4 linked regions of the Schizosaccharomyces pombe genome follow. The gene in region 1 interacts genetically with each later gene. Each region holds a gene or a part of one and is shown on either strand. Other genes may lie near its edges.

Region 1 (9,351 bases):
TTTTTCTAAATTAAAGCTAATTTCAATGCATTAGTTTCGAGGTAGTTACTCATTATTTGGAAAGCCAATTCGATCAAGCCTTGATAGAAGAATCTAAAATCAAAAGAAATTCTAAATTTACTGATACGGTACGAAATCTGCAAACAAAGTTTTTCCGTCCTTAACTATTTCAATCAAGTTACTTCCATTACTTGATTTAATGTTGTTAAGTAGAAAACCAAGAGAACACATTGGTTTAAGAATGAGGAATGAAAAAAAAGTTTTCTAACGATATTTTAGCGCGTTGATGCCCTACTTTATTTTATTGCACCCCGTGGACATTGCCTGTCTGAGTTTGATTTGGAAGCCATGAAACGGTTTTCAAAGCGCGTAAACGTAATTCCTGTCATTGGAAACTCCAACGCTTTTACTGAAGAAGAATTAAAGAACTTCAAAGATGTGATAATGAAGGATTTGAAACAATGTAACATAAAGGTATTTGACTTTCCTTGGGATCCTGAGGAGGATGAAGACGAAGTCATTGAGGATAACAAACGACTTTGGGAAAGTGTTCCATTCGCTGTATCTGGAGGGGTATCAGAGGAAGATGAAGAAGGATATCAAAGAATCGTCAAGAAATTCCAATGGGGAACATTCGTAATTGATGATCCTGCACATTCTGATTTTCTTAACTTGAAGACCGTATTGTTTATTTCTCATTTGGATATACTCAAAAGTATAACTAAACAAACCTATTATGAGAATTATCGTACAGAAAAACTGTCCAACGACTCACCTTCGAACACATCATTGTAAGAAATTAACTATGCATAAGCGAGCTAATAAGTTAGGTCATTGCAAAAGCAAAATTCCATAGTTGCAAATGAAGATAAAAGAAGTGTAAATGGTTCTGAGAGAACGGAGACTCGATCTTCGATTGATCAATCAGAAATGCGAACTAATGGTAAGTATATGCATTCTCTCATTTTCGTGCTAATGAACGCAGTCTCCGATTCTACAAAATCTGAGGAGTTAAAGAAAATTAACTCCATCAAAGTTGACAACACCAGCAGTCTTAAATGCGATTCTTATGGAAATACTAAAACTAAAACTAATCAATTAAACTGTGAACAAATTGGATTAGAAGTAATATCGCCAAAGGAATTTCCTCACAGAACTACATCAAGTCGAAACAGTCTACCCAACAATACGACAAAGGAATTGGAGATGAAGAAAATGGATGATTTGTCTCATGAGCGTTACGAAAACCTCCCTTTCTATCGCTAAATTAAACATTTGAGAGTGCAAATTATAAACAATCAAAAGAATAATTTAGTATAAGTTCATGAAAAGTCTTTTGATTTCTTTTTAATTGCTTAATCATACACCTACTTCTCTACCTATGTCCTTAACATAAGCATTCATTAGACTACTAGATTACCGCACCCACACGTGCATTGTTATGACCTACTTGAAACGATGAGTTAACTGAGGGCTGCCGAACGTCTCGTTTGGTATTTTTAAATAAAATATTAATTTACAAATTCATTTAACTGTTGATTACTGAGTAATGAGTCGAATCAATCCAATGCTCATCATTACGTCTTTCAGGTTGAGTCGTAGATGCGTAAACGGTCGTTCATCGATTTAGGCATTCGTGAGCATATGATTTTGGAAATTTCGTTTCTTTCAAAGACGTTATGATTACAACTATGCAATTTTGAGGTTGCTAACACGTAACTCTTTATCTAAACAGAATAAATGATGAGGTTGTTCTGAAAACACTCTTTTTTTAGTAAGAAAATAAAGAAGAAGTACATAAAAAATCAATCAATTTGAAGTCGTAACTAGGCTTCTTAGCTTCAGCGGCTTGTCACTAATGACTAATTATCCTTTTTTTCGCCAGGGGACAATTTTCGTGGACAATTCAGCAATTCAAAGGAATTCAGAGAATAAGAATAGTCTTTCGATTGAAAATATTTTTGGGAGATTTCCTAAAGAGTTCTTCCAATTTTTTTCAATAAATGTTTCTAAATCAACAACCAAGAAGTCTTCCGTCGTTATAAAGCCAAGTACAATTACTGCACCATGGTTAGAAAATGAATACTTAGACAGTAATACTAGCTTACTTTCCGTTCATTCAATTCAACCTTCGTTTATTGGAATGTCTGACTTCGCAATTGGATTAGATCCTTCACTGAAGCGTATATTACCCGAAATAAGATTTCGCTTAGACTTTCAGCATCTAAAATCAATAGCTAAAGGGGCCACCTCTACAATCAAGGTTGTAACTCACAGAGATAAAATCACCGACGCAAAGATATACTATGCTGCCAAAGTATATCGGAAAACGAAAACATCGCATAAAAAAAGATTGAATACAATGGTTTATTTTTTAAGGGAATGGTCAATCCAACCAAAATTGGACCATCCTAATATTCTGAAAGTTATCTGCCCTTGTGTGACTTTGACAAGCGTATTTAATAAATCCGCTGGGTTTTGTTTGGTTCAAGAGTACTGTCCTCAAGGCGATTTATTTAAGCAAATTGAAGAAAAAGTTTTGACCTTAGAAGACAAATGTTGTTATCTAAAGCAAATTCTTCAAGCAGTAGCTTACTTGCAATCTCAACGTATTGCGCACCGAGATTTAAAGCCGGAAAACATCTTAATCGGAAGGGATGGATTGTTAAAGCTCACCGATTTTGGTACCAGCGAAATTGTGGGTAATCCTGGTGATAACGAATCCATTCGTTTCGTATCGGGTGCTGTTGGAAGTTTGGCATATCTAGCACCAGAAGCATTTCATGAAAATGGTAAGTCTTATGTGTATAAATTGTGTAGCAAGACGAGCTCTATCCTATTTCAAAAACGACGTACTAATAGTTCAATTGATAGAATATTGTGGTCTTTTAGCAGATAGGTGGTCATGTGGTATTTTGCTTAAAGTTCTGTTTACTGGATACTTTCCATTTAAAACTTCCGTGAAAACTGATCTTTACTACTCAAAGTATATGTCAATCCTTACAGATACTTGTGGTATTTCTTCAACTGATGAATCCAGTTTCCAAACCGAAGTCATTAAACAAATACCTACATTGCAGCCCCTCAGATATATACCTGAAGGTGCTAAGAAGATTATACTAAGTTTACTGAATCCTGATTCCCAGAATCGGCCGTCGTTGGATAGTATTTTAGGTACTGCATGGGTACGGAAACTGGATTGTTGCAGTAACTTCTCTACCGATCATGAAAATAAGAGTTTACAGGAAGTTGATTTTGATGCTTCTAAACCCATTACAAGGAAAAGTTTGATTCCTCGGATTCATAACCATCAGACACTTGTTTAACGTAGTTTAAATCACTGTCTTTTCTACTTTACTTTCCAAGCTAAAATGAACTCATTCTTCCTATGTACATGGTGTTTCCACTGACATTACTTAACCAACGGATTAGTTCCATCCTTGCCAATATTTTTTATATGTCTGTATAATACGCTTTTTCTTTTATACGAGAATCTTTGTTTATTAATGATTTTATAAATAGCTTAATTATTACTATTTACTTCTTTTGAGTTTATAACATGCAAGTTCAGGTACCGTACTAAATGTGTATGTACACTATAAAGTCCTTACTTCTTCAAACGCAGCAAATGCTACATCGTAAACAAAACCAAATTGTCTTTTCATTCAAAATTACAAATAAATTCAATTTTTAATTTGTAACTTATTCAATAGTCATGCACAATATCCAAGCATCTTCCATCGTATGCTAGTATTTAATGTTAATAGCCATTGGATTTTCAATAACATATTCAGACTCTTGGGGATTGCTTGGGCAAGGGTGCCTTCGGTGCAGTATACCGTGGTCTAAATATAAAGAATGGAGAAACGGTGGCTGTAAAAAAAGTTAAACTATCCAAAATGCTAAAATCTGATCTTTCCGTCATTAAGGTATGAAGGGATCTCAACTATTTTTCTCTAACAATTTTTAGATGGAGATTGATTTGCTTAAAAATTTGGACGTATGTTACTCATTCGTTTATAATGGTCGCCAAATACTAAACGTGGTAGCATCCAAATATTGTTAAATATAGGGGATCTTATCAGACGAACGATTCTCTATGCATTATTCTGGAGTACGTGATTTTCTTTAAAAAATTGTTTTCAAGTTAACGATATATAGATATTGCGAAAACGGATCGTTGCGCTCAATTTGTAAAAACTTTGGAAAGATTCCAGAAAACCTAGTGGCCTTATATACGTTTCAAGTATTACAAGGGCTACTTTATCTACATAATCAGGGTGTTATCCATCGTGATATTAAGGGTGCCAATATACTTACTACTAAAGATGGCACTATCAAGTTAGCAGATTTCGGGGTTGCGACGAAAATTAATGCTTTAGAGGATCATAGTGTTGTTGGAAGCCCCTATTGGAGTAAGCCTTTTCTAAGCGTATAGTTATAACATTACTAACAATTTATATAGTGGCTCCCGAGGTTATAGAGCTTGTAGGCGCCACAACAGCCTCAGATATTTGGAGTGTTGGCTGCACAGTTATTGAACTGTTAGATGGAAATCCTCCCTATTATGATTTAGATCCTACGTCCGCTCTTTTTCGGATGGTGAAAGATGAACATCCTCCCTTGCCTTCAAATATTTCTTCGGCTGCTAAAAGTTTTTTAATGCAATGTTTCCAAAAGGACCCAAATTTACGAATTAAGACCAGAAAACTTCTTAAACATCCTTGGGTGATAATGAACCAAACCTCCTCTAAATTTTCTGACGCTATAGACGAGGTTCAAAAATATAATGAAAGAGTGAAAGAAAGCACTTTGACAGCTATTATCGAGCCTACTTCCAACAGAATCAATCCGACTCTTCATTCTGGCAGGCAGTCTTCTTATCACATGCCTGAGTCTCCAAAAACACCAATTGCCGAGTCCCCAGGTAGCTTTATGATACTTTTTAACTACTCTAACATTTTTAGATCATGATAACTGGGACAATGAATTTCAAGGAACCCTTAAAATCAGTGACGATGTTTTAAAGAAATCTGAGCATTTTATGGATTTTTGCAGTAACTTTAAAGGAAAAAATAATTCCAGCTCCATAACATCATCCCCTTCGAAGTCTCGCCATGCTTTTAATTCAGATCAAATCTCTGAATCAAACAACTTTAATGCATCACCGTTGAGTACTCCTCTCAAAGCCCAATTTGATCCCTCTAAGGTAAATAATGCAGCTCGATTTTCTAGAGCTTTTAATGATTTTAAATAAATAATTAACCTTTTTTTTAGCCCGCTCTCAACCGGTCAATAGATCATCAAAAAACTCCGCAACATAAAAGATACTTGTCAACTGGTAAGTATCTGATACTAACATATAACTAATTATCTAGAGTTTAAAGAGAATATACCAGACGGAATTGAAAAATTTGTCGAGACACCCAGAGATAGTGAATTTACTGATATTTTCCCTACATCCTCAATCAAAGTTCAAGGATTGAGAAAGGAGACTGGACTGGGGACTTTGGTTTTAAACAAATGTTATGGCTCGTGGAATAATGAAGAAAATGAGGATGGGGAAGAATCGGATATCTTTGACTCTATTGAAACAAACTTAGAAAACTTGGATATTGAAAACAACATTGCTTTAGATAAGAGAACGCATCTAGCTTCCTTACTTTCCAGTCTGTTAGGCTCACTACGTGACAAGAATATCGGATCGAAGGATACAACTGTTTCGCAAATAGTAAGTGCATATTTTTATATTGATAATTTAACTGACAATAGGCTTCTATACTTAGTGAAGATCTTTCTCTAAAACGAGAGATAATACAAGCGCATGGTATCCTTCCACTTTTAGAGACATTGCGCGAAATAAAAACGCCTGATGTTCAATTGCTGTTATTAAAGCTCATTAACACTGTAAGGATATTTAATGCGTGATTTTACTAACGTTAGGTTGCATTCGATGATCACACAACTTTACAAAAAGTTTGCTTTGCTGGAGGTTTACCGCTTATGTTGTCATTCTCTAATCGTGAACACTCTTTTGAGTTTAGATATGAAAGTGCTATCTTTATTCAACAGATGTATAGAACTTCTGCTTTGACATTACAAATGTTTTTGAGCTCAAATGGTCTGAATTCGCTTTTATTATTTATTAAAGAGGACTATGGAACGAACCGTGACTTTGTTTTTGTTGGCGTAGAAGGAATATGGAAATTACTGAGACAACAGGATTACATTCCAAAAAATGATATCTGTACGATGGTTGTAAATGATTCACTAGAGCCCTTGACCAAAGCCATGCTGAAAGCTTTGGCTACTGACGATGATTCTTCAAGAATGTCATTAACACGTATATGTGAAATTTTATTGGCTTTATCTCAGGCTGATAATTATGTTAAGGAATCACTTCTTTGCGAAAGTGCTCTTCGAAGGATATTGCGTATTCTGCTTTATCTGCCGCATTCTGATATGGCGATTACCTTACAGTTTTTCAAGCAACTTTCAATGGTTCCTTCATCTTTGTCGCTTCTTAGGAAAGTTCATATAATACCTCTTTTGACACATATTCTCGGTGACAGCAAAATTGAGAAAGGACGAAAAGAAATTAGAAGCGAAGCTTTGGCCGCTTTATTCAATGTGTGTAAGCTAGATAAGAAATCGCAAGAAGAGGCTGTTATTTCTGGTGCTATTCCATTATTGCAAGAGGTGATTATTAAAGACAGACTGTTTAAGGAGTTTGCGCTGCCGATATTATTAGCTTTGCCACAGGCTGGTCCAGTGTCGAGAATTTATCTTTGGCAAAATAAATGCTTAGATTTTTTTCTCTCGTTATTATCAGATCTTAATTGGCAATCTGCGGTATTTGATACGATCGCATCTTGGTTGCAGTTTGAACTCCGTGAAGTACAACGTGTTTTGGCAGAGAAGAGAAACGTACAATTAGTGTTAAAGGTGTTCTGTATTTCTCAATCAGCTTCCTCAAACAGAATGCTAGATACTTTGGGCAGGGTTTGTCAAATTTCCCCAAGATTGGCAGCCTCTTATGGCCAGCCTATAATATTCCAGAAATTTAAAGAAAAGTTAACTCATAAGGGGACCAAGCCGATTGTGGTCCTAAACATATTTCAAATTATGAAATCAATGTGTGAAGCTAGTAGCCAAAGTGTTGCTTATATTGCGCATTGTGGTTTACCAGATGTGGTTGCAAATTTGAACCAAACAAGTGATTCTGTGCTTGTTAAAGAACTAGCAAAAGACCTGCTGAAATACCTGAAGGTACCACAGGGTCCCATCAATGAGCACAAATCCCCCATTTCGAAACCGCATATGCCTCCACCTAGATGGCAACCAAAGCAGCCATTAACGCAGTGAACACTATTAAACGCATTTCCCAGTGCACGACTATATTACTTGTTTATGATATTTCTGTATTTATGGCTTAATGATTAATAAATAAGGTTGGGATTATGGAATCAATATTTTTTAAACGAAAGTTTTGCTAATTTTAATATTAATATATTATCATTCCATGTGTAAGTACGTTACCAGTTGTGTTTATACCTGAAATACAATCTAATTGAGTACCGCAATGAAGACTATTTATTTACCGAATCTATATTGATGAATCTTAGAAACGTTAAGAGAAAGGTTTATAATATGCTTATCACAGTGTATATTTATATTTATTCATTCAAGTGCTTCGAATTTTAAAATCTAGGTGTGCATAAAAGTTAACTTCACTATATCAGTTAACGCTACGATAGTGCAATACAGGAAGAAATATGCACTAAAACAAAAGGACAACAATGATTTTTATGCTTCTCATTTTTGGCTATTAATTTGCTGCTTTGTTTATTGCATAAATCTTTTTTGACTGTTTGCATTTCAGTAATTATTAATTTTTATGTGGAAGGAAAAATCACTTTTTTGATATTTCTTATTAACGTCGAGTTGCTAAACAGTTTATATCTATGTCAGAAGTAAAAAGGAATATATCTTTGAGAAATTCAACAAACATTTTTACTTCTACATTTAGTTTATCTTCAAATAATGTCCCAAAACCGCTGATTGGGGAGTCAGTTATAAAATATGGAGACGAGGCTTTTGTATATGGAGGACGCGATGCATTAAATGCGCAGCTTGTTAATGATATGTATGTAGTTGATCTTAACACTTGTTCCTGGAAGCAAGTTGAATATCAAGGAAATCAAAAGCCGATACCACGGTATTTCCATTCAGGGGATTTATGGAATAACAAATTAATATTCTTTGGTGGTATGGGATTTAATGATGATACAAAATGTCTTTATGTTCTTAACGACATCGACATATATGATATTGAGACTAAGCAATGGTCTCATATACCTGGCATGATAACAGAGAATCAGACAAATGACGATGCTAAAGAAGTCAATGGATCTGATGTTGATGAAAAAAGCAAACACTTATATCCATCAGCACGTTACGGACATTTGCATTGCGTGTTAGATCATTATCTTATTATATTTTGTGGGCAAGATTTATCAAACAGCTATATTGAAGAGATAAATATTTTTGACCTGGATTCGGGAAAATGGGTTTTTAAATCCCTGTTCAATCATCACTGTGGTATATACAGATCGAATTGTGTGGTAATAAACAAAGATAGTGAATTTTTACAGATGTGTCGACCAATTAATACAACTCAGGATTCTAATGAGCACTCTATCGGTTCTTTGTTTTTTTATTTAAATTACAATTTTGTCAATGTTAAGAGGCAAGTAATATACTTGGAATTATTTGAATTAGATACTGCCGAAAGTGAAAAAAAATCAGCCGCTTTGGCAAAAGATAATAACCAATCTTTCCGTTTCCTAGAGCTTGATGTTACTGAAAAATTCTTAAGTTCAGCAATGCCGCCGGGACTAAGGTTTCCTGCTGTTAACATACTTGGAGACAACTTAATATTATCTGGAATCTACCTTACGAGCTCCAGACAGGCATTCGTGCTTTGGGTCTATTCTCTTGACAAGGAGCTTTGGTTGCAACTCGATATGCTGGGTGTTTTAAACCATGGATCGTGGTTCAAATGTCTAGTCTTAGATTGTACGAATAGGTTTGTGGTTTTTGGAAACAAAACTAGGAAACTTACCCAAGATTATAATTTGCGACAATCAAATTACGATCACATAGTTTTTATTGAGTTAGAAGGATATGGTGTATACAGAAAGCCGCAAATGGGGAGAGTTACGGAGCGATCTGAACAGTTGGGTAAACTACTGTTGAACGGTATAAGTGATATGGAAATTTTGACAATCGAGCGCATGCACATCCCTTGTTTATCGAGAATGCTTTACAAGAGATGGCCTGCATTTCAAA
Region 2 (7,240 bases), 1.4 Mb from region 1:
AGAATTTTTTTTATAATTTATACTTTTTTAAGTATTCAGTTCTCATATAAAATTCTTTGTCTACCTACTACAGATTTGTAACTATACTTTTTCTTGGATCTGTGCTTTGATATTTAGGGTATGTCTGTTTATTCGTCCTTCCCTTATATTGCGTTTCATAACGGTATGCCGTCTCTTGGTGTACTGCTTACCGCTTTTTATGCTTGTTGATTTTGTCGACTTTCCACCCTTTAATATGATTTCTAAAATTATTTAAAAATACTTGAACCTTTTACCGTTGTAGCAAATACTGAACGTCCGTACTGTAGTTATTTCATTTAATGTGATTTGTATCTAGCTTCACTTCCATTTGCCGCATAAACTACTGGACGATTTTTCATTGTCGAGATTTACAAGCGTAACGAATTTTGTGCAATTAATATATATTCTCTCTCTTTTAATATTTGCTCCTTTCAAACTTAAGTTTGCTATTGGGGTTTTAGATTTTACAGTTTCTTCTCAGTTGATATTGCTTAAAGGAACAATTTCCGCAGCCCTTTCTTTAAATGCCAAACTAATTACGGAACTGAATATTATTAATTTGCTAATCTTATATGCCAGCGAAGAAAAAAAAGAATAGAGTACCGATGTATTTAAAGATATGATTGAAAATTGCGTCTTGAGAGTACGCATGAATAAATTAATAAAACGAACAAGAGATACTTCACGTTTACGATCAAGGTTCAACTTTTCCAAGCTGCCATCTCATTAACTTGTAAAAGTTGGTACCAGGACGAGACAATCGTTCAAAAGACCCTTGCTCCAAAACTTTCCCGTCTCCAACAACAATTATTTGATCAGCTCGGCGAATAGTAGCCAATTTGTGAGCAATCGTAATGGTAGTCATACTACGATTATGCATCAAAGATTGAATCGTTTTATCCACCATTACTTCTGCTTCACCGTCTAATGCTGAAGTAGCTTCATCCAAAATTAAAAATGCTGGATTTCGAAGAAGTGCCCTAGCAATTGCAATGCGTTGTTTTTGTCCCCCGCTTAGTTGTAAACCACGAGTCCCGACTTGCGTAGACCATTTCTCCGGGAAAGAAAGCACAAAACTACAATTCGCTCGTTTGGCAGCATCTTCGATTTCCTCTTGAGATGCGTTAGATTTACCGTAAGCAATATTTTCGCCAATTGTACCAGAAAATAAAACCGGTTCTTGTCCAACTAAACCAAAATGACTGCGCCATTGATGAACATTATATGTAGAGATGTCAACTCCGTCAGCTAATATTTTCCCACTACTAGGTGCGTAAAAGCGCAAAAGGAGCTGTGAGATGGTGGATTTTCCACCGCCACTAGGTGCGACTATAGCAACATTGGTGCCTGGATGAATGTCGAAAGATAAGTTATCAAATATTGAAGCTGAAGGACGAGTTGGGTATGCAAACCCAACATTTCTGAACGAAAGTATTGCCTTTCCGACTGTGACTGGAACGGGAATCCCAACGGTTGGAGCTATCTTCGGTTTAGCATCTAAAAGTTCAAATAACCGACTAGCAGCTCCCAGACCTTTCATAATATCAGTAAAACATCCTGATAAGCCAACAATGCTTCCACCGGCATAAACGGTATACAGCAAAAATGAACTTAGCTGTCCTACAGTTATATCACCTGCAGCAACCATTCTTCCGCCTAACGCAAGAATAGCGATTACAGTTGCGTTCCCAAGGAACCCTGTTGACCCGAAGAAAATACCGCTAGCAAAAGCCTCTCGCTTTGCCAGGACAAAGAGATTTCGAATGTAATCGTTGTAACGATTTACTTCTTGTCTTTCTCCTAGAAAAGCCTGTGTAGTCCGAACATTTGCGAGTTTCTCTTCTGAAACCCTTGTTAAATCACCGAGAGCATCTTGTGTAGTCCTGGAAAGTTTCCGAACATACTCTCCATAAAAGAAAGCTCCCAATGCAATTGGGGGTACAATTAGGGACATATATCCAGTGAGTCTCATGGATACGTAGAGCATCATCCCTATTCCAGCAATTGCACTAACTGAGCTACGAAGACCATCACTTAAGTACATTGATAAAGACTTACCGACAATACTCGAATCCGTCGTAAGACGGGATATGAGATCCCCATGTTTATGAAAGTCAAAAAATGCTCCATCTAATGACATGCATTTAGCAAACAAGCGTGCTCGAAGACGACTGACAATTCTTTCACTCAGTAGACGCAAGGTGATGATTCTACCAAAGTTACAAGCTGAACCAAGGAAAAATAAACCCAACAAACCAATATAAAACGTACCAGAAGGAATTCCCATGATATGCGTGACAGAAGAATCGCCTGACGAGCCAGCGTCTAAGATTTTGCCAACAATGTAGGGAATGGACATTGTAACGCCGGAGGAAACTAAGAGAAGAGATCCAGCAATAAAAAAATTCCATCCCTGACCCCTTGCTAGTGTGAAGAGACGAAAAACATTGACTTTCTTGTTTGGTGTTTGTAATGTACCATTTGTATTTATTTTTGAGATATCCTGTGCTTGCTCATCTTTTGATGGAACTGTAGAATTATGTCGCACACACAACTTTAAAAAAGCAAGTGATCGTATAGGAAGAATAGATCTAGAAAAAGGTAACGGAAAACTATTTTTAAAAGGATATATCTTAGAACCACTTGAGGCCTTTTGAGATAACGAGTTTAGGCTCACATTAACCTGTGAAGATAACTTACTGGTACTATAATATTCTGCATTTGGCGTGGGAAGTAATAGAGTATTCGTACTTTTGTAAGCCACGTTGTTTTTCAACCAAGTCAACGGTACTAAATAGTTTGCTCGAAATATTACGCGTTTATTGTAGCAGTGAGCGAATGGTACTCTCGAAAGTCCAAAACGTATTGGATCCATCCATGAATGTGCCTTTCAAAGGAAATGAACGGAATCTTTTCGAAACGGGGTTTACACAGGCTTTTGGCAACAAAAGGTGCGCAAAGTATGTACAAATAAATTATTTAATATATACTTTTTATTAGTATTCGTTCTATCAAATTTTCTCTTCTCTACGGTATTAGTAGTTTCGATAGAATTTCCACGAAGTACTCTACATTCGCATAAGGTAGGTGCTTTGGTACATACTAAGATTTCATTTACCTTAACACAACCACTTCTCTACAACAAGTCAAATCGACGAGAATAGCAAAGACATTTGTGTCTTTTACTTTTTTTAAATTTCTTGAAATTATAATTTGCTTCGAGATGGCAATTGATTACAGCAAGTGGTAAGTTTATTGATAAGTTTGTTTTTAAGTAGGCGAATATGAAGTTAACAGAATTGACAGGGATAAGCTAGAACTTAGTGATGACAGGTATGAAATATACGGTTTGGAGAGGAAATCGGCTCTGTAAGGACAATGGTTAAATACTCTACATGATGCCTTTGATTGGAGTACAATAAAAGAAGTCGAAATGAAATTTCATTAGTAGGATGGAATAAATTCAAAAATAAAATTCAGACTCATCTTTTTATCATTTTGAAGGACATGTTGGGTTCAAAAAGGCAATCATTAATTTGCAGTTTGTATATTTGATGCCAATTGGGTTCTTTTAGCTAATAAACAACCATTGTCAAAACATTCCTTTCTTTTCCTTCTTCATTTATTTTTCGTTTTGATAAATTCATGCTAACAACATTTAGTGACATTGAAGGTTTGTTACGGGTTGTATTCATATTAAATTAACCACATGCAGTTCATCCAAATGTCGATAAAAAGTCTTTTATTAGATGGCGCCAACGTGATATCCACGAAAAACGGGCTGTTAGAAAGCAAAAAATGGAAGATATCAAAGGTGCAATGGCGATGAATCGTAGACTCTTGTCTCGCATCTCCGAAATGGAGACTGTTCTTGAGAAGGAATCTCCTTCGGATCCTTATGTTTTATTGGGTTCATTTTTAGAGGCAAAAAAGTCTGAAGATATGGATAGTGCCATTCCTGGAGGCATGTCGTATCATCATATGCTTATGTCTTTATTAAAAGTAATTAAAGATGCCGAAGACACTACCGAAGAAAAATCTATGGATGATTCGGATAAATGCTTGAGACGATTAAAGTCACACAAAGAGCGTCTTCTGAAGTTGCTAGAAGATGCACAAAAGGAGTATGATACTTTAGAGGCTGAGAGTAAAAATTACATCACTTCTGAAGACTTGCATTTGGGCTTTGATTCCACCTATGTTCAGAAAAAGGAGCCTGAAAAACCTAAAAAGACTAAAACCAAAAAGGAGACCATCCAGGTCATTGAATCTCTTAATAACCCTACACCTCCTACTGATTTTCCCGGCGCTAAAGAGCAAGCTTCTACTGGTAATGCCCCTAAAAATCCTGTCAATGAGAATGAGTCGGAAGATGAAGAAGGGTTGTCTCTTTCTGAAGATGGTAAGAAGTTTGCCAATATTGATTTTGGTGATTATTCTTCATCGGAAGAGTTTTTGAAAGAACATTTAAATATCTTGGCAGATGAGGAAGAATCTGATGCTATTCTTTTGGAAGCCTTTAATGCTGAACTAGAAGGGAAGCCGTCCTTAGCAAAACAATATGTTCATCAAGCCCTTTTGATCAGCTATTGCAGACAGCTTGGACCAAATGGTTTATCAATATTTTTTCAAAAAATTAAAGACCCAAATCACCAATCTCAGCGGCTATTTTTAGAGGATGTTCATAATACATATGTCCGAATCCATGAACGTTCTGCTGCCATCAGCAAAGAACAAGCTGAAAGCGGTGAAGGAGTAGAACAAATCCAGCTCTGTGCAGTTGATCCTAATACGAAACTTTCCATCACCATCCCGGAGGCAGGTTCTACTGATCCAGAGACACAAAAAGCTCGTGCAGCTTTTGAGTCTTTTCCTCCTAACCTCCAAAAAGCTCTTATGACCAATGATTTAGACAAGATTAATGTAGTTCTTGGAAAAATGGCAGTTGAAAATGCAGAAGAAGTTGTGGAAAAGCTCAGCAGTACTGGTATGTTGAGTATCGAAGAAGGAATCATCGACACAACGAAAGGTGAGACTATTCCTCAATTGTCTTAAATTTTTCTGCTTACGGGTGTGCTTTTAGTAAGCGAAAACACCAAAGTTACATGTTTGCCGTTGGCATTTTTAAATGGATAAACAACAATGAAATTTTATTTATTGATTTACCATACCTTGTGTGTACCGTATAATAAAATAAGTATTTAAACAATTTGTACATTTGCCATCAAAGCAACGTGGTCGCTGGGATATCTTCCTTCTAAAGGCTCCGCTTCCTTCATCTCACTGGGTAAAGGCACACGTAACAGTGCCTTTAATTTTATACCTTCAACGACTTGATTTTCGGGAGTTTGAAGTGAGGTATCACGATTCATAACAAATATGTAGTCCAAATGGCCCTGGTAAGCATGAGCCCAATTGGTAAATGCTGGATGATCAAACGTATTTTTTGCATTTTCTGGGTGAACCAGTTTATAGCCCACTGAATAAAGACTGAAAAGTACGGGATTTTGCTCGTGCTGCTGATAAAAAGAACGGTAGTGAGGTACATAGTCATTTTGTACATGCAAAATTCTCTTTTTTGGGGTAGAAGCTGTGGATTCGGGAACACTTGAGGTAGAAGAGGATTGACATTCTTCTTTGTCATCTTCATTGGAATCATTTTCTGTCTTAGTACTAGCATTTTTTTCTTCCAACTCAGATTCCCCAAATACGTAATTCATACTACGTTCTATAATGTCAGTAGCCCTTTGGCAGATGGATAGAGGGCGGGTAGTTAGCGCAGGAAAGTTGGTATCGAACGGTTCAGTGTTGAAGTCACCAGCTATAAAAACAGGCCAAGAAGGATGACTTTGTGCCATCTTGTTTACTTCCTTTACCAATATTGCACCTTGGCGTAACCTTTCGTAAGAGCCGTAAGGATGCCAAAATAAATGTGTAGTAGCCAAGAACAACCCTCTGCTCGGGTCATCTACCCTTTCAAGGCGTACACAACAACCGATGTTCTTGGTGTTCATTCTACCTGGTAATTCATCATGATCATCGTAATAAATAGTCAAATCTTGCACCTTTTTGAACAAAGAGGATTTCCAAAAAATCATAATTCCATGAGTTTTACCTTCACCTTTTATGAAATGCAATTCATAACCCAATCCACCTAATAACTTCTTGTAGAAATTAGGAACAAATTCAGCATCAACTTCTTGCATACATCCCAAAGTTGGTGAATAATAGGTTAATTCATTAGCGAGCATTCGTGAGCGATTTTTCCATTTTAATGCCTCACCACTGTGTGGAAACATTGAACGACGAATATTTGTCTGAGCAAGTACGTTGTAAGTCATAATAGTAATATCCAATGCAGACTTTTCAGTTTCAAACGGTGCATAATTAGGGATGGAGAGCATTTCACGCTTTATAAAGTCCGTATTGAATTCGGGTGGAGCATTGCTTGGTGGAGCAATAGGTTTTCGAGCAGCCTTCTTAGCTAATAATCAGTTAATAAAATTGAGCAACAAAAAATTAAACAAAGGAGTAGAGATTCGGTCTTAAAAAAAGTTTCACAACAACCTTCTTATTGTTGCTCGACTAGATGAACGAAAATTTTTTTTCATACCCATTTTCTCAAGTTTTTTTTGGCGTTGTTTCTCTATGTATTCAGGCGTTACGAACGAAGGAGGGCCTTTAGCTGAGCCTTTTTTCTTAACGGGTATCGAATCTGCCATCTTGTTCTTTTTCTGATCAAAGAATGATATAGCAAGTTTGGATAATCTATAATCAGTGTGGAATCGATCGATAAAAAACTTCAAAGTCAATGTACACGTTTTAGGACAAGTGTACATACAATGACTTTTGAGTAGACTTTATTTAAGTTTTCACAGCCGAAATGGATTAACGACTGTTGGTTCGTACAACCTCAGGTATATCATCTAAAATACCGCATACTAGCGTGCTCTCCTTGATGCCTTCTGTTCGCTTCAAGAAAAGGAGCCATTGGAGCTTCTTTGACTGATTTGAAAGGATCTGTTTCAAAATTATCTTCAATTGTATTTTTACCCTCGGCATTTGAAGAGCCTTGAATGAATGCAAAGGCATTAACTAAATCTTCGAGTTCCAAATCTTTCCAAGCCGGTTCATGCCTAAGCTGTTTGTTTTTCATTAAGATTAGATTTGCACTAGAATGTTGAATAGTCATCTCATCTTCTGTAACAGGTGGTAAGTG
Region 3 (6,914 bases), on another chromosome or scaffold:
GTATGGTTTTGACATTGGCATTGTACTGCAAACCAGCAAAGCCAGTACCACGATAGCTGACAACACAGTAGACCATTCGTTTCCGGGGTTTCACCGAAATCGAAGAAAAGAAAACCCGATGTCGTTGGAGCAAGCAAAGCACAGATTGGTTGGCAGAGAACCTTGAAGGTCTTAAGAGACTATGCATAGTTTGAAAGATGAAATTAACTAAGCAAGTTTTTAATGAAAGAGAGGAAAGGTACTACAGATGGCATGTGCTCAAGCAAAAGTTAGGATATTAAAAAAATATTAAACTAAGGGTAGAAGCACTTCAACTGTTTTTCATGAACAATATAGAATATTACTATAATTTTTTGGAAAGAGCCCTAGCTTCCATGAATAGTCTTACCCACAATACCCTGTTGTTTATCTATTTTCTTTTACTAAACCAAGCTGTACATACTAGATACCACAAAGAAATACCTTGTATCTCCTTTCTACCCCTTTGAATGGACAATGAAGCCGAAAATTTGCCGTTTTTAGAAGGTCCTTTTTTTTCAACTTTTATCGAAAATTAATTTTTTTTCAGTCGTTTCAAAGGTCAACCTACAAAACTAATTCTTTTCGTTAGCAACCGCTTTCTTATCAATCTTTGCTTCTTTATTTACTGTTCTCTGCTAAATTTTCGTTGATTTATTTAAAATACCTTCTAAACCATACTTTTTCTTACTACCCGGGTTTTGACAAATTTTTTTCTATGCAGCTCTATCCGGCAAATGTTAAGGGATTGAGATATAGTGAATGTTGCATCTTAACCGCTAACCCATCGGTTCAACATTTTGTCATGCATGATGATGCTGGTGTTCCTCTAACGTACAGCGTTTCCACACTGCACGCCGAACTTACCGACCACCTATACCTCCCAACCACCAGGAAAACAGTCGCAGTAGGCAAGAAAACGCTTTTTGTAGTGCAAAAAAAAAGATTTAAGCCGGAAACATAGCAGAATAGCAGAAATTTGATATTTACTGTTATCATCTCCATTATTATTTGGATTAGTTTTCGATTGTCCTTTCATTCATCTAATAACGCTTGTTTTTCTTTTTTCTTTTTTGCATTCTCAGTCTTGGTTGTTTTGCTATTTATTGCGTTCCTCGGTTTCTCCCTATTAAATATTTTCTTTTCATTGTTTTTACGGAAATTCTCATTTTTTCATCTTAGGGGCTCGTTGACTCAGCCTGCACGACAAGGAAAATTATATCCGTTTCGGAAGCACAACGTGTGTGTTGAAAGTCTTACTTTTCTTTTTTATTTTTCTGTACCCTTTCATTGAACTTTAGCCATTTGTTGCTTTGTTGAATTTTGGCCATAAATAGTTTTTCAACTGGGTTTTTATTCGACCTCCTTTCATTATTCATTTCATTTTCATATCTATCCATTTCTATCCCCACTAAACAATTTTGTGTTTTTAGGATTTCCCTATTCTCAATCCATAAAATAGTCACGATTCGTTTTCATTCAGATACCCGGCTCCTTATTTTTTTTTTTTTCGAAATTTTATTCACTCGTTTGATTTCGTTGATTCATTTCTTCCGCCTTTTACTCATTACTTAAGGGTATTTGCTTATTAAACGTTTGGTCTTTTTTTTTGCCCATCTTTTTGTTCATACAAAGTTTTGTGACATTTATATAATATTTAGTCTCTTCGTTTTTGTGTGGGTTACCTTTTTTGTTTTATTCTTTTTCTTTTTTTTTTCTCTTTCTTCCCTCTTTGTTTTTTCTTCTGACCCTATTTTATGCCTTATTATTATTTTGATCAAGTTTCAATCATTTTTTCACAAAGATTTCATATTCACTTTACTTCTTAGTTTTTTTCTTTTTATTTGAAATTTCTTGGAATCTTTTTGCCTTTTTTCTTTTAACTTGATCTCTCTTATTTAACGTTACTTAGAAAAGCTTCTTTTATTTTGCTTTTCCTTTCATTCTTCGCTCCTTTATAAACCGTGTTCATACTTCTTTTGCTTACGTTTTGCCAATCTTCCCAGCAATTTTACTTCTATCTTGATTGTTCTTGTTGTTGGATATTTACTCTTTGTTGATAGCGGTATATTTTATTTGCTTCTCACTTTTTGCCCGATTGCTTTCCTTTGATTTACCTCTCCAAAAAAAAACAAGTGTCTTTTGTTTACTTGTTTGTATATTTGTTTATACTCTGCTGATTGAAAAGTTGATTGTTTATTTTATTTTTCCATCTGCAACCATTTCTTTTTTTTTGAAAAAAAAAAAATCGCTAACTGATTTTTTTAAGCATTTCGAATACCTTCGAAGTCTTTTTATCGATACTTTTGACGATTTCTTCCTCATAAGCCTTGCCCTAGACTTTTTGTTAGCTCGGTATTTTTGCATATTTCAGTCATCTTTTTTTCATTTTCAGTTTGTGTTTTTTGCTTCACAGTTGTATCTGTCTCTCTTTTAGCAACTAGAATTATTTGTGGTGGTCAACAGTTTACCCTTTGCTCTCGTTTTCTTGAAGTTACAGTCTTTCTTTTATTATCTTCGTCCAGTATTCTAGGTTGTTGCCCTTCTAATTCTTTCGCGTCAAGTATTTGGATTTTTCTAATACTTGCTAACAATTTTTACTGAATTTTTTATTTTTCTTCATTGCCCTTGCTTATTTTTATTACTTACACACTTTCTTTTTAGTCGACCAACTAGGTTTCTAACTTTTTACTCCACTTATTAACTATTTCGTGTTATTAAGCTTGAAGCCTCATTTATTATCGTTTGGGGTTTATTTAACAACTACTGCTATTTCATTTGTGTTTTACTTTTAGGCATCTATTGCTTATTTTGGTTACTTTATCAACCACTTTGTCATTCTTTTTTCTCTTCTTTTCAATTACCATTATATATAATTTGCAAAATGTTTGTGGGATCACCGAGCGCTATTGAAAAGCCTTTATCGTTATCCAGTAAGACCAAAGTCGGGGACGAAACCGAGTTTACTGAAGATGCGCTACGTGGTTCATCGTTGGTTCCAACCGGTATTCTGAATGGAGATGATGAATGTCATGCTCTTCACATGTCTCCTCAGGCTATTCACAGCCAAGCTGGGAAAGCTGAATCTGACGGTTTACCTACTTATGCATCTGTGGAAAAATCCACAACTCCGATTGGTAGACTCCTCTCTAACCTCAACGGTGGATTAGCCTCTGCTCCTCCTAAGGTTGGATTCGGTTTTCCTAGATATTATGCTTTGCGGATTGAGGATTTACCTAGGGACTTAACACCCAGAGAGTTTTTATGTACCTTTTTATTCGCTACGAATGTAGTATCCGTCGAGCTTAATCCTGTATCCGTGGATAATGAAGTTGCTCATGGATTGGCGGTGTTTTCATCCCGAGATGCTGCTGCATCTGCTAGAGACACTTTGCTATCTAGCGATGTTTATTCCGCGTGCAGCATGATAATTTTAGACAATTATCGAAAGGGAAGTCAAACAAATCTTAGCGACGAAACTGAGGGCTCTGAGAGTAGTGTTTCATTTAACAGACTGTCTCGAAACCATTCTCCAACTCGTCCACTGTTAGGAAATCGTGATCTTTTCCGCAGGTCAAGTAATCATGTGTCAGCCAGTATGCCTACTGCAAATCATTCGGAATCTGCTTATCGTCATTCAAAAACACCTTTGGGTGATAGCACTTTTCAGGCTCCTAACAATGGAGGTAGTTTGCATTCCGATAGGTTGTGGTCTTCTTTCCCTGTTTCTTATCCTTTAACACTCGCGAATGTGTTAGCCAAGGATGAAGTTGGTTCACCTACGTGGTCACCCACTCCTTCCAAAAGTAGTACCAATTTGCGTCAAGACGGTGTTCCTCCGATTTTGCGATTTAACTCATTATCTATTAACACCAACGTGGCGCGCAATTACCTTTCATCTGAAAAGGGTTATAGCGCTCATACCCAAAATTCTAGTGCTCAATCACCCCATCCTCGTGTCTTTTCGGCAAACAGTGCATTCAGTACAACAAGCCCTCCTCCCTTGACACCATCAACATCAAGAGACTACCCATTTTCAGCTTCTACCATTTCACCTTCCACACCATTTTCGGCTTATTCCTCCAGTCATGGAATTCATCAACGCATCCCTGCTTCTACCCCCACGAATACCAACCCTGCTGATCAAAATCCTCCTTGTAACACCATTTATGTTGGAAATCTTCCTCCTTCTACTTCCGAGGAAGAGTTGAAAGTTTTGTTTTCCACTCAAGTTGGATACAAAAGACTTTGTTTCCGCACTAAAGGCAATGGCCCCATGTGTTTTGTTGAATTTGAAAACATTCCATACGCCATGGAAGCCTTGAAGAATTTACAAGGTGTTTGTCTTAGCAGTAGCATTAAAGGTGGTATTCGTTTGAGTTTTTCGAAGAACCCATTGGGAGTGCGCTCATCAAGTTCATCGCATAACAACCATAATGGAAACGTTCGTAACCTTCACTCTGGTTCCATGAATAATTACAATACAGACTCTTTGCTTAATCATACTGGTGGACATAACGAAGTCCACGCCAGTCCCAGTTGGGGTAATAATCTAATGTATGGCAAATAGCTCATCTAGCATTTTCTCGTCTTCATTTTATCATTATTCATCAATACCTTGCAAGGACTTTAGGTCCAAATTTTTTAAGCATATTGTTTCTCTTTTTTTTTTTTTGAGTTTTGCATATTGATTCTTTGTTAATCAAAAGTTGCGATCTATTCCACTTTGACTGCATGCAACTTTAACCATCTGTTAAGCTTAATTACAATTTGTCGATTTATGCGATCTGTTTTATTTCACTCTTATATAAGATGGGTACTTGCATTGTTTAGTTGTCATTAGGATTTATCATTTGCTCATCATTTCCATATACTTCTGCTACACATATCAATTTACATAATAATATCGACTTTTGCTTCTAAATGAACCCATCTTAAATTGCTAAACAAGTACTGTAACAACTTGGTTAGATGTATTTTTATTGTAACACCCAACTTAAGCTTACATACAAGAATTTTTAGGATACATTGATAAGCAAACACTTAATCCTTTTATAAATATTAGTATAGTCTAGGTGAATAAAATATTTCCAACAAAAACTGTATAATAGTAATCCCGTCCTTTCCCTATTAAGTTGAAATTGATTTACTTTTTTTAAAATTGCGAGGAACTTTAGGCATGCTTCGTCCTTTTCACAGGCGGCTGTTTTGAAGTGCTGTAATATTCTGACTCCGATTCTGACTCTGAAGAAGTTTCAGAAGTTTCCGAATCCAAACTTTGACGTTTCGCAGCTTCATCTTCGACATTTTTGGGTTCTGAATTGCTATCGGCCAACATAGCTACCATACAGGTAATTCGATTGCCTTCTGGAATGTTATGCTCAATTACTAAGTTCCAATCTTTATCCCATATACATACTGAACCATCCGAGCTTGCAGTAATTAAATAATCATCAACAGGGTAGACAGATTTGACGCTAACTTGATTAGAAAATTTTGAATTTTTAATTTGTTGAGTATAGAATATAAAAAGACACTTACCGTTTCTTATGCGCCGTAAATTCATGTAAAATCTTCCCATCAGAAGTATCCAAAACCAGTACTGTTCCATTATCTCGTCCAACTATCAATTTGGATTGATAGAGACACAAAGCGTTCAATTGAGATTTAGAAGAGAAGCTGAAAAGGGAAGTGAGATCCTAAAAATGTATTAGTAATTTATAAAAGAAGGAGGAAAATTGCATATAGAAAAATGCATAAATTCTTACCAATTTAAAGGCATCAATGCCTCTTCGTGACATAATAACAAATGACGACTCATTCAGGAAAAGAATAGATTCTGGGATAGTGCTTAAAGGTAAAACTTTACCTCCTTTACCTCGTACAAGGTCCCAGAGCCGCAACTTTCCATCACCTCCAACTGTTAGGGCCAATTTTTCTGAAGGGTGAACTGCTATACCAGTGATGCCCTTATGAGAAGATGACTTAAGAGTATGAACCAACAACCATGAACCTTTAGACCACATACTGATTTGCCCGTTATCATGACATGCTAAAAGGTGATTTTTAGTAAAACACATATCTCGGATACATGCATTGGCGATATCTGTAGGAACAGAAACATCGGCTATTTGGACGTTACGAGTGTGATCGAAAATTCTGAAACGATGTTAGATTATGCTTAAAAGGATAATTAAATACAAGGAAGGAAGAATGAAACCATTTAAGTCCAGTTTCATAATTCCAGTTGCAAATAACTTACTTAATTGTTTCATCACTGCTAGTAGAAGCCAAGTAAATACCGTCGACAGCTAACGCGGTTAAAGCTCCTTCATGAGCTTCAAAAAGCCACAAGGGCTTGCATTTTTTCCTCTCAATGTCTGCATCAACACCGTAAATGAGGTGAGTATATGTTCCAACTACAAAACGGAGCATCGGTGACTAAAGTATGACAATTGAAGCCTAAATCCAGTTATACAAAACCCAAAGTAAGTTATAATAAGCACCCGATCCTTTTGCTTTTTCTATTATAATTTAATTGAGTCCTAAACCACAAATTCTCAAATACCAAGTAAGAAGGAGAGAGTAGCAAAGAATTTGCAGGTGTAATGAAATTTTAAAGTAACAGCAAGAAGTTTCACTTTATGTTTTTCTTCAAAACCAATGAAGAAAGATTTTTAAATTGCTGAAATTGATTATAGAGAATGAATATTAATAATAAATACCTTATTTTGTGTGCTTTTGGTCTCAAATTGATCAGATTGCTAATGTAAACAACTAGTGTTTCAAAGTAGCAAGCTCAAGGAAGAAAAAGACATACAGTAGCTTTTACTTAAACAAAGAACCTTCCAAGCACTAAATCTTTTCTTGTTTCAATTTTCACCCTGCATGTTACT
Region 4 (8,626 bases), 940 kb from region 1:
AACAAACTGCATTACTTTGACGAAATAGGATATTCTCATGCTCCTCTTCTTCATTGCCCTAGAAAGGGACGTTGCTTCTGTAAACCGGAAGAGATTGATTGTAAGTATAATTAATATACTGCACATTTGCTGACAATTTATTAGTATCGTCCAACTCTTCTTGCATAGCTAGGTTCATTAACCTAACTAACGAAGACTACGATGAATTATAATGCTTTTGTTGCAATCAAAATGAACAGAACTTTTTAGGCTAACAATTTGTGTATTGGAAATGTCATTATGCAACGAGGTCAGGATAACCCTGAGTAAGATATTAAATGTATTTTATTGTGTTTTAATTTATTACTACAAGGAATTCTTCTCAAAGTGTTTACTTCATTGCACTGTTATCGTAAGCAAGTCGACATGCGTAAATCAACAGAATATTTGTTTTTGTTTTGGATTCATAACTCTGAACAATAATTAGTTAAACAAAATTTTCTCTTATTTAACAATTTATTTAAATCCCTTACCAGCACTACTATTCTATAATTATTTATTAATGCACACACTTTCTTTGTCAAAATAGTGTAACAACTATATTGTTATAAGTCTCATAAAATGGTTTAACATGCCCATTAAAAGGTCCGTATTTTTTTTAAGCAATTAAAATTTTTTACGCTATATTTATTTATTGTATTTGCTGTAAATTTATCTGAAAACGTCACAGGAGTTCCTAATGTCAATTTTTTTTCGACAAAATTATTCTGTACTTAGCCAACATGTCGTCCAAATCAGCGTCCAAACTGAAAAGAGAGGTAAGTTCCTATTAATGAATGCTGTAGAGAAAAAAGTCAAATAAATAGCTTATTTCTAATTTTTTTCGATTGCTTTTAAAATTTTTAAGCTCAATCGCTAACAAATGTTTAGGCTAAAAAAGCTGAGCGCTTAGCTGCTAAAGGCGAGAGCGTTAAGCCCTCTAAAAAGAATGGAACTAAAAATGGAAAAGATAAAGAAGTCGATGGAGTCACAAAAGATTTGTCGGAACTTTCTACTAGCGACCCTATTTTTGAAAGAAGTGCTTCTGGTGTCTTAACTAGTCAACCAATGAGTCGCGATATTAAAATTGACAGTTACACCCTTTCTTTTCACGGACGTCTGTTGATAGAGAATGCCACTATCGAACTCAACCATGGTCAACGCTATGGTCTTTTGGGTGATAACGGTTCCGGTAAAAGTACATTCTTGGAATCCGTGGCTGCTCGTGATGTGGAATATCCAGAACACATTGATAGCTACTTGTTGAACGCAGAGGCTGAACCCTCTGATGTTAATGCTGTCGACTATATTATTCAGTCAGCAAAAGACAAGGTTCAAAAATTGGAAGCCGAAATTGAAGAGTTATCAACTGCCGATGATGTTGATGATGTTCTATTAGAATCCAAGTATGAAGAGTTGGATGATATGGATCCTAGCACCTTTGAGGCAAAAGCAGCTATGATTTTGCATGGTTTGGGATTTACCCAGGAAATGATGGCCAAACCCACAAAGGACATGTCTGGTGGTTGGCGTATGCGTGTTGCACTTTCTCGTGCTCTTTTCATCAAACCCTCTTTGCTTCTTTTGGACGAACCTACCAACCATTTGGACTTAGAAGCCGTTGTTTGGTTGGAGAATTACTTAGCGAAATACGACAAAATTCTTGTTGTCACTTCCCACTCTCAAGATTTCCTCAACAACGTCTGTACCAATATTATTGATTTAACTTCTAAAAAGCAGCTTGTCTACTATGGTGGTAATTTCGACATTTATATGCGTACTAAGGAAGAAAATGAAACCAATCAGATGAAGGCTTACTTAAAACAGCAAGAGGAAATTGCTCATATTAAAAAGTTTATTGCTAGTGCTGGTACCTATGCAAACTTGGTACGCCAAGCCAAGTCGAAACAAAAGATTATCGATAAAATGGAGGCTGCCGGTTTAGTTGAGAAGCCCGAACCTCCTCGTCAATTCAGCTTTGAATTTGATGAAGTTCGCAAATTACCACCACCTATCATTGCTTTTAACGACGTTGCTTTCTCTTATGATGGTAATCTTGATCACGCTTTGTACCGTGACTTGTCCTTTGGTATCGATATGGACTCCCGTGTCGCCATTGTGGGTAAAAATGGTACCGGAAAGTCTACATTGTTGAACTTAATCACTGGGCTTTTGATTCCCATTGAAGGCAATGTCTCTCGTTACAGTGGATTGAAGATGGCTAAATACTCTCAGCACAGTGCCGATCAGCTTCCCTATGACAAGTCTCCACTTGAATACATCATGGATACTTACAAGCCTAAATTTCCCGAGAGAGAACTTCAGCAATGGCGCAGCGTTTTGGGCAAATTCGGTTTGTCTGGTCTTCACCAAACCAGTGAAATCCGTACTTTATCTGATGGCTTGAAAAGCCGTGTTGTGTTTGCAGCACTCGCTTTGGAACAACCCCACATTCTTTTACTTGATGAACCTACGAATCACTTGGATATTACCTCTATTGATGCCCTAGCCAAAGCCATTAACGTATGGACTGGTGGTGTTGTTTTGGTTTCTCACGATTTCCGTCTAATTGGTCAAGTTTCTAAAGAGTTGTGGGAAGTTAAAGACAAGAAGGTTGTGAAATTGGACTGCTCCATTGAGGAATATAAGAAGTCGATGGCCAAAGAAGTTCAATCTCGTGATACTACTGCCAAAGTTAAGCATTTGATTTAGTTAATTTATAGATTTTTGGTTAGGGAATATGTGATACATTTTGAGTAGTGGGATTAATATAAAATGTTTATTACTTATTTGAAAGTGTTTAAGAAGCGTATTGCTTTTGGTCTCATCGTTGTAATTGTCAAGCTCTATCATTGAGTGAAGCTATTAAGCCAAAATTTCATCTCTGTGTACTGTTCAAGAATTGTCGTTAAGTCCGATTTAGAGTGGAATTATCTTTTTCCACCGACTATAGGTAAACTGTACTTCTCAGCATTTATGCGTGAAACTTTATACAGCATCGGTTTTGAAAACTATGTACGCTTCTTCTCGAAAAGACTAATAATAACCCATTCTATTAAAAAATGCCAGTGAGCTCGTAATTTCTCTAGTACCTTAGAAAACGCTACACAGCAATCTCGTGAATTCACATAGTAAGCGCAAACTGTTGAGAAAAATCCAGGTTAGTAATCAATAAATAAGAAATGCAAATATTCTATATTATTAATTGTATACCAGATCGCTATGCTGTTTACACATAAAGTCGATTTGCCATAGCTTGTTAGCAAGCTGATGATACGCAAGAGTAGCCTGTCACCTCTGTAACGGTCTCAACTTACCAAAAGCAACACACGGTTAGAAAGACTTATAACTTGCTTTTTACTATATACAAAATTCCATAATTAATGTCTATAGATCCAGCAAATGATAGTAAGCTTGCTCCGGAGGCGAATGACGCTACTCTAGGAGACGTTGACAGATGGATCGAACAGTTGAAAAAATGCGAGCCTCTGAGCGAAGCTGACGTTGAAATGTTATGCGATAAGGTAAGTGAACACTAAGGAGAGTATATATGTGTATCAGGCTTGGTTGGATATATCCCAACTTTGCAAGTTCTCATTTTCTCTTGATTTCTTGAGATTGTTCAGTTTGATATGTTTGAGTTTGAACTATCCAGCTTATTTCGGTTTGATTTCTAAAAAGATTAATATTACATTAATGTCGGGTTTCTAGAAATCTCATCCTATAAATATATGGTGGTTAAAAATTACGTCGGAGACTCTCATCTATACCAGCATTTTTCGTGTTTTCGCAGTTTTTGCTAACCATTTTTTCTAGGCTCGTGAGGTTTTATGTCAGGAAAATAATGTCCAACCTGTCCGAAATCCAGTTACTGTTTGCGGTGATATTCATGGACAGTTTCATGATCTGATGGAATTATTTAAAATTGGAGGTGATGTGCCTGATATGAACTATCTTTTTATGGGTGACTATGTTGACAGAGGTTATCACAGCGTCGAAACTGTAAGTTTGCTTGTTGCAATGAAGTTACGCTACCCTAACCGAATTACGATTCTTCGAGGAAATCATGAATCTAGACAAATCACTCAAGTTTACGGATTTTATGATGAATGTTTGCGTAAATATGGATCCGCTAATGTTTGGAAACATTTCACAAATTTATTTGACTATTTCCCTTTAACTGCTTTAATTGAAGACCGTATTTTCTGCCTACATGGAGGTCTTTCCCCGAGCATTGATTCATTAGACCATGTACGGACTTTGGATCGTGTACAAGAAGTTCCCCATGAAGGTCCGATGTGTGATTTGCTTTGGTCAGACCCTGATGATAGATGTGGTTGGGGAATTTCTCCTCGTGGTGCCGGATACACCTTCGGACAAGACATTTCTGAGACATTTAATCACGCAAATGGATTAAGTTTAACGGCACGAGCCCATCAGCTAGTTATGGAAGGATTTAATTGGGCACATGATGGAGACGTAGTTACAATTTTTTCTGCCCCAAATTATTGTTATCGCTGTGGTAATCAAGCAGCTATTTTGGAAGTTGATGATACGATGAATCAAGTCTTTTTACAATTCGATCCTGCCCCACGAGAAGGCGAACCGGTAATAGCTCGAAGGACACCAGACTACTTCCTTTAAAAGTTTCAATTCTCTAATGAGTGATCAATCGATTGTGATTGTTTCAAAAAATTTATCCACCTTTCTGATTTTTGAGTTAATACTCAAGATTAAAAAGACTACTTTGTACATCCTCCGCATACGAATCTTCAGACTGTCTTTTCATTTCCAGGACTTGTCAAGTACCTTTTTTGCAAGGAAATCTTAAAATCCTTATATGTATTCCACTTCAAGCCATTGCAACCGTGTCTTATACGTACGTGAAATATTCTTGTTAATTTTGATAAGCACACTAGGATTTTTGGTTGTGGACTTATTTCTTCGAGAAATATCTGCTATTTAATATGTCGTGATAGCGATTAACGACTGCTGCATAGTTGGATGGTATTGTTTTGAGACAATATTATGAGTTAGAATTAGGCATGCTTAAGCAGTCATGTGCTGTAATGAATTAAACATCCTAAAGCTTTATGACCAAACTTTTTAAGCCAGCTTCATGATTCCATATTTGTAGAAGTTTGTCTATAAAGAACTTTTAAAGAAAAAAAATGGTTTATTTGTCTAGATATTTATTTATTATTGATACTTGTCAGATAAACCTACAATAACTACATATTTGAATTGTACAACTTTTTTATTCAAGTATAAGGGGATACTTTTGCATTTCACAAACCTTGAAGGCAAGAAGAGTACTCAAGGATTATATATATTTTTAGCGGTTTAAGAAACTACCACCAAAGGGAAAGTAAAGTTACATTAGACTACGATAAAATAAGAACCATCTGACTTGCATGAATCAGGCGTCACATACAAAATTATTGATTTACGTCTTGGAATAAGAGATTCAAGGTTGCATTAATTGAGAATGAGAAGGGGGTTTGTATCAGTAAATGACTATAACAAGAAAAAGGAAGTCTGCAATTGCCATCTTGACTGCTGTATAAGCCAAATGGACCAACAAAGGCTATGAGAAAGTGCATTGGACAAATAAAAATAAGAAGCAAGTAAGACAGCATATGACTTGATCCCCAACAGGCTAAAGAAGAAGTAAAAGAGAGGGGAGAAAAAGGAGGGAGGAAATCAGCTAGGACAAAAGTTTTTGAGCGAAATAAATTTTATCCGATGATAATTTTGCTTCCTTCAAACGTATAAGCAGGAATCGCCAAGTTAAGAGGTGCAGGACCACGGCGAATACGACCAGAGATATCATAATGAGAACCGTGACAAGGGCAGAACCATCCGCCATAGTCACCAGCTTCGCCAATGGGTACACAACCAAGATGAGTACAGACACCAATCATAACAAGCCACTCGGGTTTTTGAACACGGTCAGAGTCCGCTTGAGGATCCCTAAGAGTGCTAATATCTACAGAATTGGCTTCTTGGATTTCTTCAGGAGTACGATGACGGATAAAAACAGGCTTACCCTGCCATTTGACGACAAGGTTCTTTCCCTCTGGAATTTTCGACAAATCAACCTCGGCCTTCGACATAGCCAACACATCAGCAGATGCAGACCAACTCGCCAAGAAATCATGAACAGTAGCTTGAGCTCCAGCGGCTGTAAGAGCACCCATTGTGCCTACCATGGCATAAGATATAACACGAGAACGATCACCAGTGCTCTTTGTTTGATACTCCGAAAAGTCTGGCATTTCCGGAGAGTCAGTATATGTACGAATAGAGGTAAATTTTGGGATGGTCATCATTGAGCCCTTCAACGACGAAGCAGTGCTTGAAACGGGAAGCAACCGTCTTAACGAAGATGCTAACGACTTAGAAATAAATTGCTTGGCCAGCATTTTTACAACGTTTTAAAGAGAAACAGGTTGTTGAAATATTCGGTGGGTAGCGGTTGGGGAAGAAACGTCAAGCTGCCTCTGGTTTAAAAATGGCGGCGTTTGTGGGTGCTGTGATTTGCTAAGAAGGTTAGTTGTATTTACCGAATTCACCGATTGATGAAACTACATATCCGAAGTTCTCCGAAAAATAACGAAGTACACAATAAAAAATTAACATAATTTTACAGCTACTTTTAACGATCAGTACAGTATAGTGCTAGACTGTGCAGTACATATATCATCACGAATCGAAAATCCTATATCTTTCAAATTCCAATATTATGGTACGCTAGAGATCATTTTGTTTTATCAGATATAATTTTCCAGTCTATTTTACTAGGTTCCGTATAAGAACATAGCTGGATTTACGTTCTTCCGTCCAGCTATAAACTATTTGGAGATTATAATATTATCCAATATTTAGATGTTTACAGTAGTATCATTCATCACTTTACAAGGTACAGCACCTGCATAAAACAATACAACAGTATTAGATTGAAAATTATCGTATTCTTTCACTAGCCTTAATTATTTTAAGGAATTGGTATATATCATTAATCATAGTTCAATGTAGAAGAAATGCAATATACTTATGTATAATGTATTCATGAAGATTGGTGACATTTATTGAATATTAAGCGTATCCTTCATTAATATGCAGGAAATTTTTCTACTCTATTGAACATCATCAATTCATAAAACGTTCTATCCTCGTATTGGTGTTGCCGGCCAATATTTGATAGGTAATGCAGTAAACTTGCGAAAAATATTATCAAGTATTTTTTCTTCCTCTAAAATTTCATAAGCCGAGTAATGGAACTGGTTTTGATATATTTCGATATCTTTCAATTCTTTTAATGAGATTGGTGTTTTTGGGTTGGTTTCTGGTTTGGAAGAAACCATTCTCTCCTTGTCCAGTGCTTTTTGTCTTAATTCTTTTTCTTTTAACAATTGCTCCTTCTCCTTTTTCCACATTAACTCCCTTTTTTCCGATTCACGGAACCAAAGAATTTGCTCATCTGTTAACGTTCGTATAGTCCCATCAGGATAGCGCTCTACACTTTGTGTATACTCAACGTTTGCACTTTCTGAATTTCCCCCACGATCGTTTTGCGCGAAAGCAACATTCCATAGGTTTACTGCTTTTGCATTAAAATGCTCATCATGGAATTTCTGTAAGTCTCCTTCTGTAATTTCAGAACTCATTAAAAGTTCCGTGGTTTTACACAATATTGGATTCAGTAAGGATTACTTTGCTAGTTGTAACAAGTTGCGATGAAATCAATTTGATGAACGAGCAAAGCTACGCTAGAACATTTAATGAATCACCCAAATTAAAATACTGTATCGTAGTGAATTTGATAACCCAATTAAAGCAAAACAAGGTAATACGTTAGGATTATACTAACAACGCAAACTTACAAGATGAGTAGTTTCTTTAAGAATTTAGCGATCCTTAATATTTGATGTACTTTATGGAATGGCCGTAAGTATATTTTTCTTGCTCCCTTCGACTAATCTCTCAGACTTTGACCAACTTGGAGCCTTTGGCAACGTATGTTTTTCAGATTTCCAGTTACTTTTACTAACATTATAGGGGGACTGTCATCCTTAAAACTACTCGCGGCGATATCCAGATAGAACTTTGGTGCAAAGAAGTGCCGAAGGCCTGTAGAAACTTTATACAGTTATGCTTGGAAGGGTAAGTTAAATCGTTGATGAGCAACGTTGTAGTCCCAAATGTTGCAACATTAAACTGCTTCGGGTTTACAAATATACTAATTAAATACAGTTATTACGATGGAACCATTGTTCATAGAGTTGTACCAGAGTTTTTGATACAGGGTGGAGATCCTACTGGCACTGGAATGGGTGGTGAATCTATATATGGTGAACCTTTTGCTGTAGAAACACATCCTAGGTTACGGTTTATAAGAAGAGGATTAGTGGGAATGGCATGTACTGAAAATGAGGGAAACAACTCTCAATTTTTTATCACCTTAGGTCCAACACCTGAATGGAATGGCAAGCAAACTCTATTTGGACGTGTTGTAGGGGATACCATTTACAATGTAGTAAGGATATCTGAGTTAGAGTTAGATGCCAACCAACGACCTGTTTTTCCCCCAAAAATAATTTCAACA

Evidence for each region.
Region 2: mutations in cdc7 (region 1) and cdc37 impair growth when combined (synthetic growth defect), as found in Schizosaccharomyces pombe (one study listed by BioGRID).
Region 3: of cdc7 (region 1) and scw1, a mutation in one rescues a mutant of the other (synthetic rescue), as found in Schizosaccharomyces pombe (2 studies listed by BioGRID).
Region 4: of cdc7 (region 1) and ppa2, a mutation in one rescues a mutant of the other (synthetic rescue), as found in Schizosaccharomyces pombe (one study listed by BioGRID).

Annotation. Positions count from the first base shown.
Region 1 is NC_003423.3:3,220,795-3,230,145, reverse strand, and holds cdc7 (serine/threonine protein kinase SIN pathway Cdc7), read left to right. Parts: upstream 1-3,640; 5' UTR 3,641-3,715; coding exon 3,716-3,742; exon of another isoform or gene 3,743-3,794; coding exon 3,795-3,929; exon of another isoform or gene 3,930-3,970; coding exon 3,971-4,000; exon of another isoform or gene 4,001-4,049; coding exon 4,050-4,114; exon of another isoform or gene 4,115-4,161; coding exon 4,162-4,415; intron 4,416-4,465; coding exon 4,466-4,927; intron 4,928-4,967; coding exon 4,968-5,209; intron 5,210-5,277; coding exon 5,278-5,341; intron 5,342-5,378; coding exon 5,379-5,731; intron 5,732-5,772; coding exon 5,773-5,907; intron 5,908-5,943; coding exon 5,944-7,365; 3' UTR 7,366-7,795; downstream 7,796-9,351. Other genes in the region: meiotic septin Spn7, read left to right, coding at 35-128, 280-791, 831-943, 986-1,266; serine/threonine protein kinase Ppk24, read left to right, coding at 1,859-2,792, 2,875-3,326; Ras1-Scd pathway protein Ral2, read left to right, coding at 7,965-9,351. UniProt on the Schizosaccharomyces pombe protein: Protein kinase essential for cell division. Plays a key role in initiation of septum formation and cytokinesis.
Region 2 is NC_003423.3:1,827,945-1,835,184, forward strand, and holds cdc37 (Hsp90 co-chaperone Cdc37), read left to right. Parts: upstream 1-3,142; 5' UTR 3,143-3,244; coding exon 3,245-3,267; intron 3,268-3,327; coding exon 3,328-3,354; intron 3,355-3,431; exon of another isoform or gene 3,432-3,683; coding exon 3,684-3,694; exon of another isoform or gene 3,695-3,736; coding exon 3,737-5,076; 3' UTR 5,077-5,186; downstream 5,187-7,240. Other genes in the region: mdl1 (peptide-transporting ATPase), read right to left, coding at 716-2,896; SPOM_SPBC9B6.11C (CCR4/nocturin family endoribonuclease), read right to left, coding at 5,223-6,505, 6,635-6,860; anaphase-promoting complex TPR lobe accessory factor Apc13, read right to left, coding at 6,944-7,240. UniProt on the Schizosaccharomyces pombe protein: Co-chaperone that binds to numerous kinases and promotes their interaction with the Hsp90 complex, resulting in stabilization and promotion of their activity.
Region 3 is NC_003421.2:670,574-677,487, forward strand, and holds scw1 (RNA-binding protein Scw1), read left to right. Parts: upstream 1-2,902; coding exon 2,903-4,588; 3' UTR 4,589-4,678; downstream 4,679-6,914. Other genes in the region: pus3 (tRNA pseudouridine synthase), read right to left, coding at 1-187; SPOM_SPCC16C4.21 (uncharacterized protein), read left to right, coding at 737-982; p21-activated protein kinase inhibitor Skb15, read right to left, coding at 5,192-5,495, 5,560-5,717, 5,787-6,177, 6,281-6,453.
Region 4 is NC_003423.3:2,283,616-2,292,241, forward strand, and holds ppa2 (serine/threonine protein phosphatase PP2A catalytic subunit Ppa2), read left to right. Parts: upstream 1-3,336; 5' UTR 3,337-3,401; coding exon 3,402-3,542; exon of another isoform or gene 3,543-3,703; intron 3,704-3,834; coding exon 3,835-4,662; 3' UTR 4,663-5,756; coding exon of another isoform or gene 5,757-6,443; 3' UTR 6,444-6,830; downstream 6,831-8,626. Other genes in the region: alpha-1,2-mannosyltransferase Omh2, read left to right, coding at 1-100, 145-212; SPOM_SPBC16H5.08C (ATP-binding cassette sub-family F protein), read left to right, coding at 762-797, 910-2,730; Rieske iron-sulfur protein, ubiquinol-cytochrome-c reductase complex subunit 5, Rip1, read right to left, coding at 5,757-6,443; protein gem8, read right to left, coding at 7,188-7,688; cyclophilin family peptidyl-prolyl cis-trans isomerase Cyp7, read left to right, coding at 7,963-7,968, 8,009-8,037, 8,080-8,184, 8,275-8,626. UniProt on the Schizosaccharomyces pombe protein: Essential role in cell cycle control. PP2A may be involved in controlling the entry into mitosis, possibly acting as an inhibitor.